Linked DNA regions of Oryctolagus cuniculus. The protein of the gene in region 2 purifies or fractionates together with the protein of the main gene of each other region. This does not show direct contact. Links are inferred from orthologs where the notes say so. Each region holds a gene or a part of one and is shown on either strand. Other genes may lie near its edges. The genes, in order: BAG4, DCP1A and PNRC1.

Region 1 (3,658 bases), on a different chromosome or scaffold from region 2:
TAGTAGGAAGCTGGTTTGGAAGTGGAGCAGCCAGGACTCAATCCAACACTCTAATGTGGGATCCTGGTGTTGTAAGTGGAGGCTTAACCTGCTGTACCATAATGCCCACCCCAGGATGGTAGCCTTCTACGTCATATTGTTTATTTCTTATATTAATCCTCTGAAATGTTTGTAATATTTGTTATTCTGATGGAGAAACTGAAGCTAAGAGTGGATACATACGTTTTTAAAAAATTTATTTATTTATTTGAAAGTCGGAGTTACAGTGAGGGCAGGAGAGACAGCGAAAGACAGAGATCTTGCACCTGCTGGTACATTTCCCAGATGACTGCAATGACTGGGGCTGGGCCAGGCTGAAGCCAGGAGTCAGGAGCTTCATCTGGGTCTCCCATTTGGGTAGCAGGGGCCCAAACACTTGGGCCATCTTTCACTGCTTTCCCCAGGCTATTATCAGATAACTGGATTGGAAGTGGAGCTGCCAGGACATGAACTGGTGCTTATGTGGGATGCTAGTGTCACAAGCTGTGGTTTTACCCATTATGCCATGATGCTGGCTCCTAAGAGTGGTAAAATATAAAACCTATGGCAGAGCTATGTCTGGCTCTTTTTTTTATTATTATTATTTGTTTATTTGAAAGGGAGAGATATCTATCTATCTATCTTCCATCTGCTGGTTCTCTCCATAAATGGCCACAATGGCTGGGACTGGGCCAGGCCGAAGCCAGGAGCCAGGAGCTTCTTCTGGGTCTCCCATGTGGGTGCCGAGGCCCAAGGATTTTGGCCATCTGCTTTCCCAGGCACACTACCAGGGAGCTGGATTGGAAGTGGAGCAGCTAGAACTTGAACTAGTGTTCAAAGTTGGAGTGCCAGCATCACAGGTGGTAGCTTTACCTGCTATACCAAAATACTGCCCGGCCCCCTTTTTCTATTAAATTGTGGTACTCCCTTTCTCTAAAAGTCATTTTCCTAGGTTTTCAGGAATCCTCCCCCTAGTGTGTGGGTTTAAGTTCATCCCTGCTATTAGGTGTCATTGTTAGGGGCACTTAAGGAGACGTTTGAAGAACACTGCTCTAAGGCCATAGCTTCATCATTTCCTCTCATCATCATGTGCTCTCCCCTGGTCACTACACAGACTCTGCACTTAGAGCCCAAGTTTCATTTATGGCATTAATCATAATAAATGATAGAGAACGCTTCAAAAGTTGCTCAGGTATTTCATATTTTTCATTCATCACTGATCTCGTTTCTTCCCAAAGTTTTTAAGGTTGGGCCTTAAGACAGGGCGTTTCAGTTCATCTACCCATTCATCTTTTTTCTCTCAACTTTGCTTTTTTCAGAGTTTGAATTCTTACACAAATGGAGCATACGGTCCACCGTACCCACCTGGCGCTGGGGCAAGTACTGCCTCATACTCTGGGGCGTATTACACCCCTGGATATACCCAGGCCAATTATTCCACAGAGGTTCCCGGCACTTACCGTTCACCCGGCAATAGCCCAACCCCGGTCTCTCGTTGGGTGTATCCCCAACAGGACTCTCAGACTGAAGTGCCCCCTCTGCGAGGGCAGGTTCCAGGGTATCCTGCTTCTCAGGTAAGCAGTTGTCGGTTGGGGAAAAGCTCTGCTCTGTCTGTGCCTCTTGGATTGCAAACTGTGGAAGGGTGACTGCTTATGCTAGATTGAAGATTTCAGAACACACTTGGGATGTTCAGAGATTTGCCAGCAGTGACTGGGACCAGGAAGACAGGTGCTACTTTTTTGTTGATGCCTTTTGTACTTGTAACTGTTGTGGTCCATGGACTTTGGCTGAAGGCACCTTAAAGATGCCATAATCACACACTTTTTAATACTGAACGCAATATTTAGAGAGTTACTACTTGAAAATTTCTGTGTCTTAGCTCTGTTAGGCCTATATAAAACATTATTCTAAATGTCACGTGTATTTATTTATTTATTTTAGATTTATTTATTTATTTGGGAGGCAGAGTTACAGTGAGAGGGGGAGAAAGGTCTTCCATCTGCTGGTTCACTTCCCAGTTGGCTGCGATAGCTGGAGCTGGGCTGATCCAAAGCCAGGAGCCAGGAGCTTCTTCTAGGTCTCCCATGTGGGTGCAGGGGCCCAGGCACTTGGGCCATCTGATGCTGCTCTCCCAGGCCATTAGCAGGGAGCTGGATCAGAAGTGGAGCAGCTGGGACTTGAACCGGCATCCATATGGGATGCTGGCACCATAGGCAGAGGCTTAAGCCACTATGCCACAGCACCTACCTCTTCTGTTTACTTCTGATACATCCTTATTGATACTTTCTTATAGTATATGTGGCCATTTGTTTACAGTGTCTGTGCTTCATCAATTGAATTTTAGGCTTTAATTTTTGTGACTTTGATTGTTAGCAAACCTGCCCCTAAAAGCTTTGGAACCAAATTTTTTTTTAAACATTTTTTGTTTGTTTTAAATTTAAGAGAGCTCGCATGTGCTGGTTTACCTCCCGTGCCTGTAACAGCTAGAAGCTGGGAGCTGAGAATCCCAGTCCAGACCTTCCAGGGGGTGGCATGCACCCAATTACGTGAGCTATCACCTGCTGCCTCCCAGGTTGCGGATAGTAGGAAGCTGGAATCACAGAGTGGAGCTAGAACTCAAACCCAGGCATCTGACAGGGGATGTGAGCATCCTAATCGCCAGACCAGACATCCAAACACTTGCCCATGGAACCAAAGTGTTTTTTGTTTTTTTTTTTTTAAGATTTAATTTTTTATTGAAAGATTGACACAGAGAGATTTTCCACCTACTGGTTTACTCCCTAATTGCCTGCAGCAGTCAGGGCTAACCCAGGCCAACGCCACGAGCCAGGAACTCCATCCGGGTCATCCACGAGGGTGGCAGAAACTCAGGCATTTCAGTGTCATCAGCTGCTTCCCAAATGCATTAGCAGGAAGTTGGATTGGAAGTGCAGAGTAGCCAGGACTCCACCCAGGTGCTCTGAAGTATGGGATGTGGGTGTGGGCATCCCAGCTGCACCACAGTGGCTGCCCCCTGGAAACAAGATTTTGTAGGCTTGGAGAAATTATTGCAACTGATTAATTAGTTACTAGCATCTCAGAATCTGCCTGTACTAGAATATTTTCATTACTTCTTCAATTTTTTTTTTTTTAGCAATGACCAGCATATTTCTTCCTCTCAATCTAGAACCCTGGAATGACTCTGCCCCATTATCCATATGGGGATGGTAATCGTAGTGTTCCACAGTCTGTACCAAGTGTACGACCGCAAGAGGATGCCTGGGCCTCTTCTGGGGCTTATGGAATGGGTGCCCGTTACCCCTGGCCTTCGGCTGTGCCCACAGCACCACCTGGGAATCTCTATGTGACCGAAAATGCTTCACCATGGCCTAGCAGTGGCTCTCCTCAGCCACCTCCTTCGCCTCCGCCCCAGCAGCCCAAGGTAGGACATCTAAAGGCTGTTCCTGTGAAGTCTGGGTACTTAATAGAGTACAACATGGGACCTTTCTGCATCGGTCTGTTAAATGGGGAGTAACTGCAAAAATCTGGTGTCTACTACCTATAGCTTTTCCTCTCTCCTCTCCTCTCCTCACCTCTCCTTTCCTCTCCTCTCCTCTCCTCTCTTCGTTCTCTTCCTTTCTTTCTACAAGAGTATATTTTT
Region 2 (3,658 bases):
TAAGTATCTATACAGGTTTAAGTGTGGGAAAAGTTCTACTTCTCTGTGGTAAACACGTAGGAACAGTAAACACACTCTTATAAAAAGTTTTATACTTTCCCTTTAGATCTAGGATCGATTCTGATTTTTGCATATGATGTATTTATGCATTTAGGTTAAGGTTATTTTGTTTGCATATGGATATTCAATTGTTTGAATGCCATTAAAATTGTTAACTTGAATAGGACCCTAAAAGTGAAAAAATACAGTTACAAAGATTGATTTATTTGAAAGGCAGAATTACAGGAAGAGGGATGGGGAGAGAGATAAGGAGAGAAATCTTCCATCTGCTGGTTCATTTCCCAAGTGACCCCAACAGCCTGGCTGAAGCCAAGAGCCAGAACTCCATCCAGGTCTTCCATGTGGGTGGCAGGGCCCCAACACTCAGGTGATTTTCTACTGCTTTCACAGGTGCATTTACAGGGAGCTGAATTGGAAGTGGAGCAGCTGGGACTCAAACTGGAGCCTACATGGGAAGCTGCAGGTGGTGGCTTAACATGACGTGCCATAATGCTGGCCCCTGAAAATATTTCTGTTCTTCAAAAGAAACCTCAAAAAATGATCACTGGGATGGACACAGAATTATAAATTTTTAACAACTTAAGTTTTTTATATTTGGGCTATGTGATCCAGTATCTGGTATTACTGATACCAAAAGATATAACCAAAAACCATTTAGAAAACTCAAGACACTAGATTTTTAAAAAAGCAGCCTTTTCAAAGTTCAGTCTGCAGACAATTAGTTCTCTTGCTACCATATTATAAAAACATGTGCTTACTACAGGAGAGGCAAATGTTAAATTAAGGCATTACACTTTTTTTTTTTTTTCCTATTCAAATGACTTAATCCTTGTATTATTTCAGAACATCACAGGGGTGAAACTGTTTGCAAAAGCTTGCAAAATGTCTTCTACCATATCCCTTTCTGTGCAGCAACACCATCAACCAGCCACCAATTTCACTACTGGGAATGCTTGGAATCGAATTATATTACAGAAAACATAAACATTGTTCACAGTAAATCCTTAAAACACAAAGTGCAAATGTTCAGAAACACTTAGGAAGCTGGAGTCTCCCTTTAAAAAAAAATCCAGAATTGTCATTTGCAGAGACTATCTGGCAGCACCAGGTCATTTGGCATTAACTGGCTGGGACTTCACTGCAAATGATCTCTGTCAGGGAAGTGGCTCTCTGGCCTACTTTACCAATGCCACTGCTTACCTGGCTCTTGGGGCACTTGAGTTTGCAATACTCGAACATAAGCTGCATAGACTGTTTATGATATGTTGTTCTTTAATGTAAGGTATCGAGAACTTCATGTTTTTTCGATACTTGTGTAGGGCTTTTCTTGATGGTTCATTTTGTTAATGACTACTAGGATGAGGGGATTGGACAATCACAGCCAGATCTGCTGGAAGTCATTTTTATAATACAGGGTATAAATCTTATAATTGTCAAAATCCTTTAATCTACCAAGTCAAGTAATTCATCTTAAGGAAAAAATTAATGCTGTACATGAAGATTTAGCTACAAAATGTTCCTATTAGAATAGAAAGAGAAATCTATGCTATCATTTATGGGAGACTGGGAAGAAGTACCTGGCTCTTGGCTTCGGATCAGTGCAGCTCTGGCCGTTGCAGCCATCTGGGGAGTGAACCAACAGACAGAAGACCTCTATCTCTGTCTCTCCCTCTCACTGTCTGTAACTCTACCTCTTAAATAACAAAGTATTTTCAGTGATTATGATGGGTGGCTGGGTGATGGAATTAAATTCCACCCAAACCCAGGGTTATATTCTGTGGCAAGAAACAACTCAAACTGTACCAGTTATGAGGGTGCTTACTGGAGAGTTTTAGTTTTTTTTTTTAATTTTTTAAACCATCTTTAATTATTATAAATGGGGGCCAGCGCTGTGGTGCAGTGGGTTAACGCCCTGGCCTGAAGCGCCAGCATCCCACATGGGCGCAAGTTCGAGACCTGGCTGCTCCACTTCTGATCCAGCTCTCTGCTATGGCCTGGGAATGCAGTAGAAGATGGCCCAAGTCCTTGGGCCCCTGCACCTGCGTGGGAGACTCAGAAGAAGCTCCTGGCTCCTGGCTTTGGATCGGTACAGCTCTGGCTGTTGTGGCCAACTGGGGAGTGAACCAGTGGATGGAAGACCTCTCTCTCTCTCTCTTTCTGTCTCTGTCTCTCTTCTCTCTGTGTAACTCTGACTTTCAAATAAATCAAGAAATATTTAAAAAATAATTATTATAAATGCCCCTCCCACAAAAGTCTGACATTTCGGGGCTGCTGGCATCCCATATGAGCACCAGTTTGAATCTGGGCTGCCCTGCTTAAAATTCAGCTTCCTGCTAATGTGCTTGCAAAAGCAGTGGTAGATGGCCCAAGTTCTTGGGCCCGTGCCACAAATGTGGGAGACCTGGATGGAATTCCAGGCTCCTGGATTTGGCCTGGACTAGCCCTGGCCATTGTGGCCATTTAGGGAGTGAACCAGAAGATTCTTCCCTGGTCAGCACCCAGAGAACCTTACCCTCTCGTACTCATCCTTGGCTCTGCTCAGCATCTCCAGGATGTCGATGGGCCGGTGGTCGCTGCAGCCATTGGCCTGGTTTGGACTCTGTTTATCCCGAGCAGCTTGTTGCGATCGCCTTGTTTCCTCTTCTACCACGCTAGAGGAGGAGAGCTGGATTTTAGAAAAGCCTCTTTAGACACAATCTGACCCAAGAAGTCTTTTGCTGTCCATCTTCCAAGGGTATGCCAACAGGGTCACATGATGCCCGTATCCTCCCAGCACATCAATACACAGCCTTGGTTATTTCATTCCGGGAAAATATAACTAACGTTTTTACTTGTTCACTACGCTGCCAACCAATACATTTCACCTTTAAAAGACAAAAAAACAGGAGCCAGTGCTATGGCATAGTGGGTAAAGCTAATGCTTACAAGGTAGGCATCCCATATGAACACTGGTTCAAGTCCCGGCTGCTCCACTTCTGATCCAGCTCCCTGCTGATGGCCTGGGAAAACAGTGGAGGATGGCCCAAGTCCTTGGGCCCCTGAACCCACATGGGAGACCCAGAAGAAGCTCCTGGCTCCTGGCTTCAGATGGGCCCAGCTTTGGCCATTGTGGCCATTTGAGGAGTGAACCAGTGGATGAAGGATCTCTCTCTTCATTCCATTCTCCCTCTTTCTCTCTATAATTCTGCCTTTCAAATACATAAACAAACTAAAAAAAAAAGACAAAAACATAGAATTCCTTCCTAGAGTTGGTAGAAACATTTATGTCAAAAATTCTGTGAAAGTGTGTCCTTTTCTTCCTAGAAATATGTCAAAATCAGTCAACCTAGCTCATAAAATACATTTGAAACTGGACAATGCCAAGACACAGGTATGGCTGCACTGTTGAGCAACCCATTGTGGAAGTTTGTACTGTCCTTAGGCTAGCAAGGAGGAAGATTCACTTCTAGAAATAGATGTCTTGGTCAACCTTTGAACGTTAATGATAGTAAAAACAAACAATAGGTCTTCCCTAATCTTCCTTTTTTTTTTTTAATATTTTATTTTATTTTATTTTAGACAGGCAGAGTGGACAGTGAGAGAGAGAGACAGAGAGAAA
Region 3 (2,359 bases), on a different chromosome or scaffold from region 2:
ACTTCAGCATAAATACTAATCACAGCAACATGTTGCTTAATCAAGTGCCACTGCCAACAATTTTTTCCACTCACATAAGCTGACAAACCTTTTACTCCTTTGCAATTAAAAGCTGTTTCCTTAGGCCACTATAAATTTAGGCCTGAAGCTAAGAACTACATGGTCCCATACATCCACAAAGCCAAATTACATCAACATTAGAGGAAACATTTCAAGAGATTCCAACAGAAGAAAAATAAAGGTGGCTTAACATCACTGACCAAAACAAATTCAGTACCTTCTCACTGAATATATATTATATTATCTGGTATAATTCACTTATGTTTACTCTTACAACTGTAAGACCTATCTTAATACTATAATATAGTCTACTTGTCATTTCTTTAAAGCTATTTATCAATGTTTTAACTCTAGCATTCTCAGAAAATAATTTTCCAAGGCTGAAAAGTTCACCTATATTTTCACATTAGTTTTAGCACCAATTTCTCTAAACCGTTCTAATATTCAATGAATATTAAAGCATAGCTTAATTTCTTTCTGTAAGAACAAGCATTTCATACCCAGGGACAAAGAATGGTTGGCTGGCTAGAGCTGCAAATACAAGATAGCATGCCTTGCCATTATTACACAAATTTTGTGGGACAGCTACATAACAAGTCATCCTATCTTCCTGGCACTGAGTATCAAGTTAAGAGCAAGTTTAAGCTTCTGCTCACACTCCCTACACCACACAGAAAGTGAAGTCTTCACTCTCCTTGTGGGAACCAGTGTGAGACCTAAGACACCTCCAGGTAGCACCATTCTCATGAATTCAACCTTAAGAATCATGTTCAAGTATGTACCTTTAACATCTTTTTTCTTTTTCCTCTCTAAATGTCGCCCAATTACGCAGAAAAGTTTTCTCCTTTGAGACAAACTTTCAGTTTATACAAGTGAAACCATATAGAAAGTGTATTTTAGAATTTGAATTGGTAATATGTTGAGAATGGTTTGAACTGCCATGTTGATCTTCAAGCCTCCAAAATCTCCACCCACTGTTTTCAGCATCAACTATGTTTTTTCAGTACAAGTGCCACCATTCAAGATTAACGTAATAAAACATAGGTGTCATTGTCTTACACTGAAAAATGTACCATATATTAAGTCAAATAATACTTCATAAAAAAGTTTACATATAAAAATATATTCTAAGTCATAAACTAACCAATTTTACTTTGTCCACTACCATTTCCACTTGTGAGATGGGCAATTCCCCACTAAGAGGTAGAAATGTTAAATAATTGCTCAAAATTTTGTAGAGGAAGAATCATCAGTACAAAGTCAAAAACAGAGCCAGTGAAATGAGAAGTTAAAAATCCAGTCACACAAAATCCCATGGCCACACACAGGACAGTCACACACAAAAAGTCAAGACTAGTTTAAAGGGGGGAGGCCAAATTATTATTACTTTAAAATTTGATTACAACCGATTTTGTTGGCATTAAAATTAGAGGCATCTTAAATTTGAATAATGGATATATACCAAAAACAAAAAATTAAATTTGGTAGAAATGGGGAGGAGTTTTTCCAGTAATTAGATTGGAAGGCAGAAATCAATTTAGCGAAAGACAAAACTCCATTGTTTACAATGATTGTGCCACAGACTTAAACTTCAGTAGTGCATTAGTAAACTCTTCACATTTAGATCTTCACCTTGAGATTTGACAGCTGTTTCTTGGTAAAATCTCAGTACCTTGTGCAAATAAACTGGTGTTCCATGTGCCTTAGCACACTTAAAATTTCTCCATTATATATATATATATGTATATATATATACACAAATCACCTGCCACATGGGCAGGGCAAAATACATACTTTCATAACAAAACTATAATGTACCTCTCAAGTATGAACAATATACACATAATACATGGTATACAGTATTTACAAAATATAAAATATAATACAAGCTGTTTGTATGTAACTTTTTAAACTCATCTTTTGTACTCTTACATTGCAACAAGGCAGATTTCCAGATCTGTACCAATTCAAGAGTCCAGGAAGTTGGAAAAAACTGTTTTACATACACACTGAAATCTGAAATCTTAAGTTTGAACCTTCAGCAGTGTTTTCAAATGCACTGCCATCAGCTCCTTGTTTTGGTTGGAATTTTCAACAGAACTTCCCATCCAGTGACTAGGAGGCTTTGGCAGAACACTAGGAGAAGGTGGATCACTGAACTTGGCGCCAGCGTAATTCTCCTTTTGGCTCACTTCAGTCAGAAATGCTGACTTCTTCAAATGCATGTTTTTAATATTCTCTGTATTTTTAAAAGGCTTTTTTTCCTGCTTCTGAATTCTATCAGATGACACAGAGTCCT

What was found.
Region 1: the proteins of DCP1A (region 2) and BAG4 purify together in Homo sapiens (affinity purification with mass spectrometry; 4 studies listed by BioGRID and IntAct, counting the BioPlex papers as one, with this or other methods). This does not show direct contact. The link is inferred for Oryctolagus cuniculus from reciprocal best matches to the Homo sapiens genes DCP1A and BAG4.
Region 3: the proteins of DCP1A (region 2) and PNRC1 purify together in Homo sapiens (affinity purification with mass spectrometry; 3 studies listed by BioGRID and IntAct, with this or other methods). This does not show direct contact. The link is inferred for Oryctolagus cuniculus from reciprocal best matches to the Homo sapiens genes DCP1A and PNRC1.

Annotation. Positions count from the first base shown.
Region 1 is NC_091433.1:87,946,809-87,950,466, forward strand, and holds part of BAG4 (BAG family molecular chaperone regulator 4), read left to right. Parts: intron 1-1,337; coding exon 1,338-1,592; intron 1,593-3,184; coding exon 3,185-3,439; intron 3,440-3,658. UniProt on the Homo sapiens protein: Inhibits the chaperone activity of HSP70/HSC70 by promoting substrate release. Prevents constitutive TNFRSF1A signaling. Negative regulator of PRKN translocation to damaged mitochondria.
Region 2 is NC_091441.1:96,527,036-96,530,693, reverse strand, and holds part of DCP1A (mRNA-decapping enzyme 1A), read right to left. Parts: intron 2,712-3,658; coding exon 2,573-2,711; intron 1-2,572. UniProt on the Homo sapiens protein: Necessary for the degradation of mRNAs, both in normal mRNA turnover and in nonsense-mediated mRNA decay. Removes the 7-methyl guanine cap structure from mRNA molecules, yielding a 5'-phosphorylated mRNA fragment and 7m-GDP.
Region 3 is NC_091436.1:83,405,487-83,407,845, forward strand, and holds part of PNRC1 (proline-rich nuclear receptor coactivator 1), read right to left. Parts: coding exon 2,085-2,359; 3' UTR 1-2,084. UniProt on the Homo sapiens protein: Nuclear receptor coactivator. May play a role in signal transduction.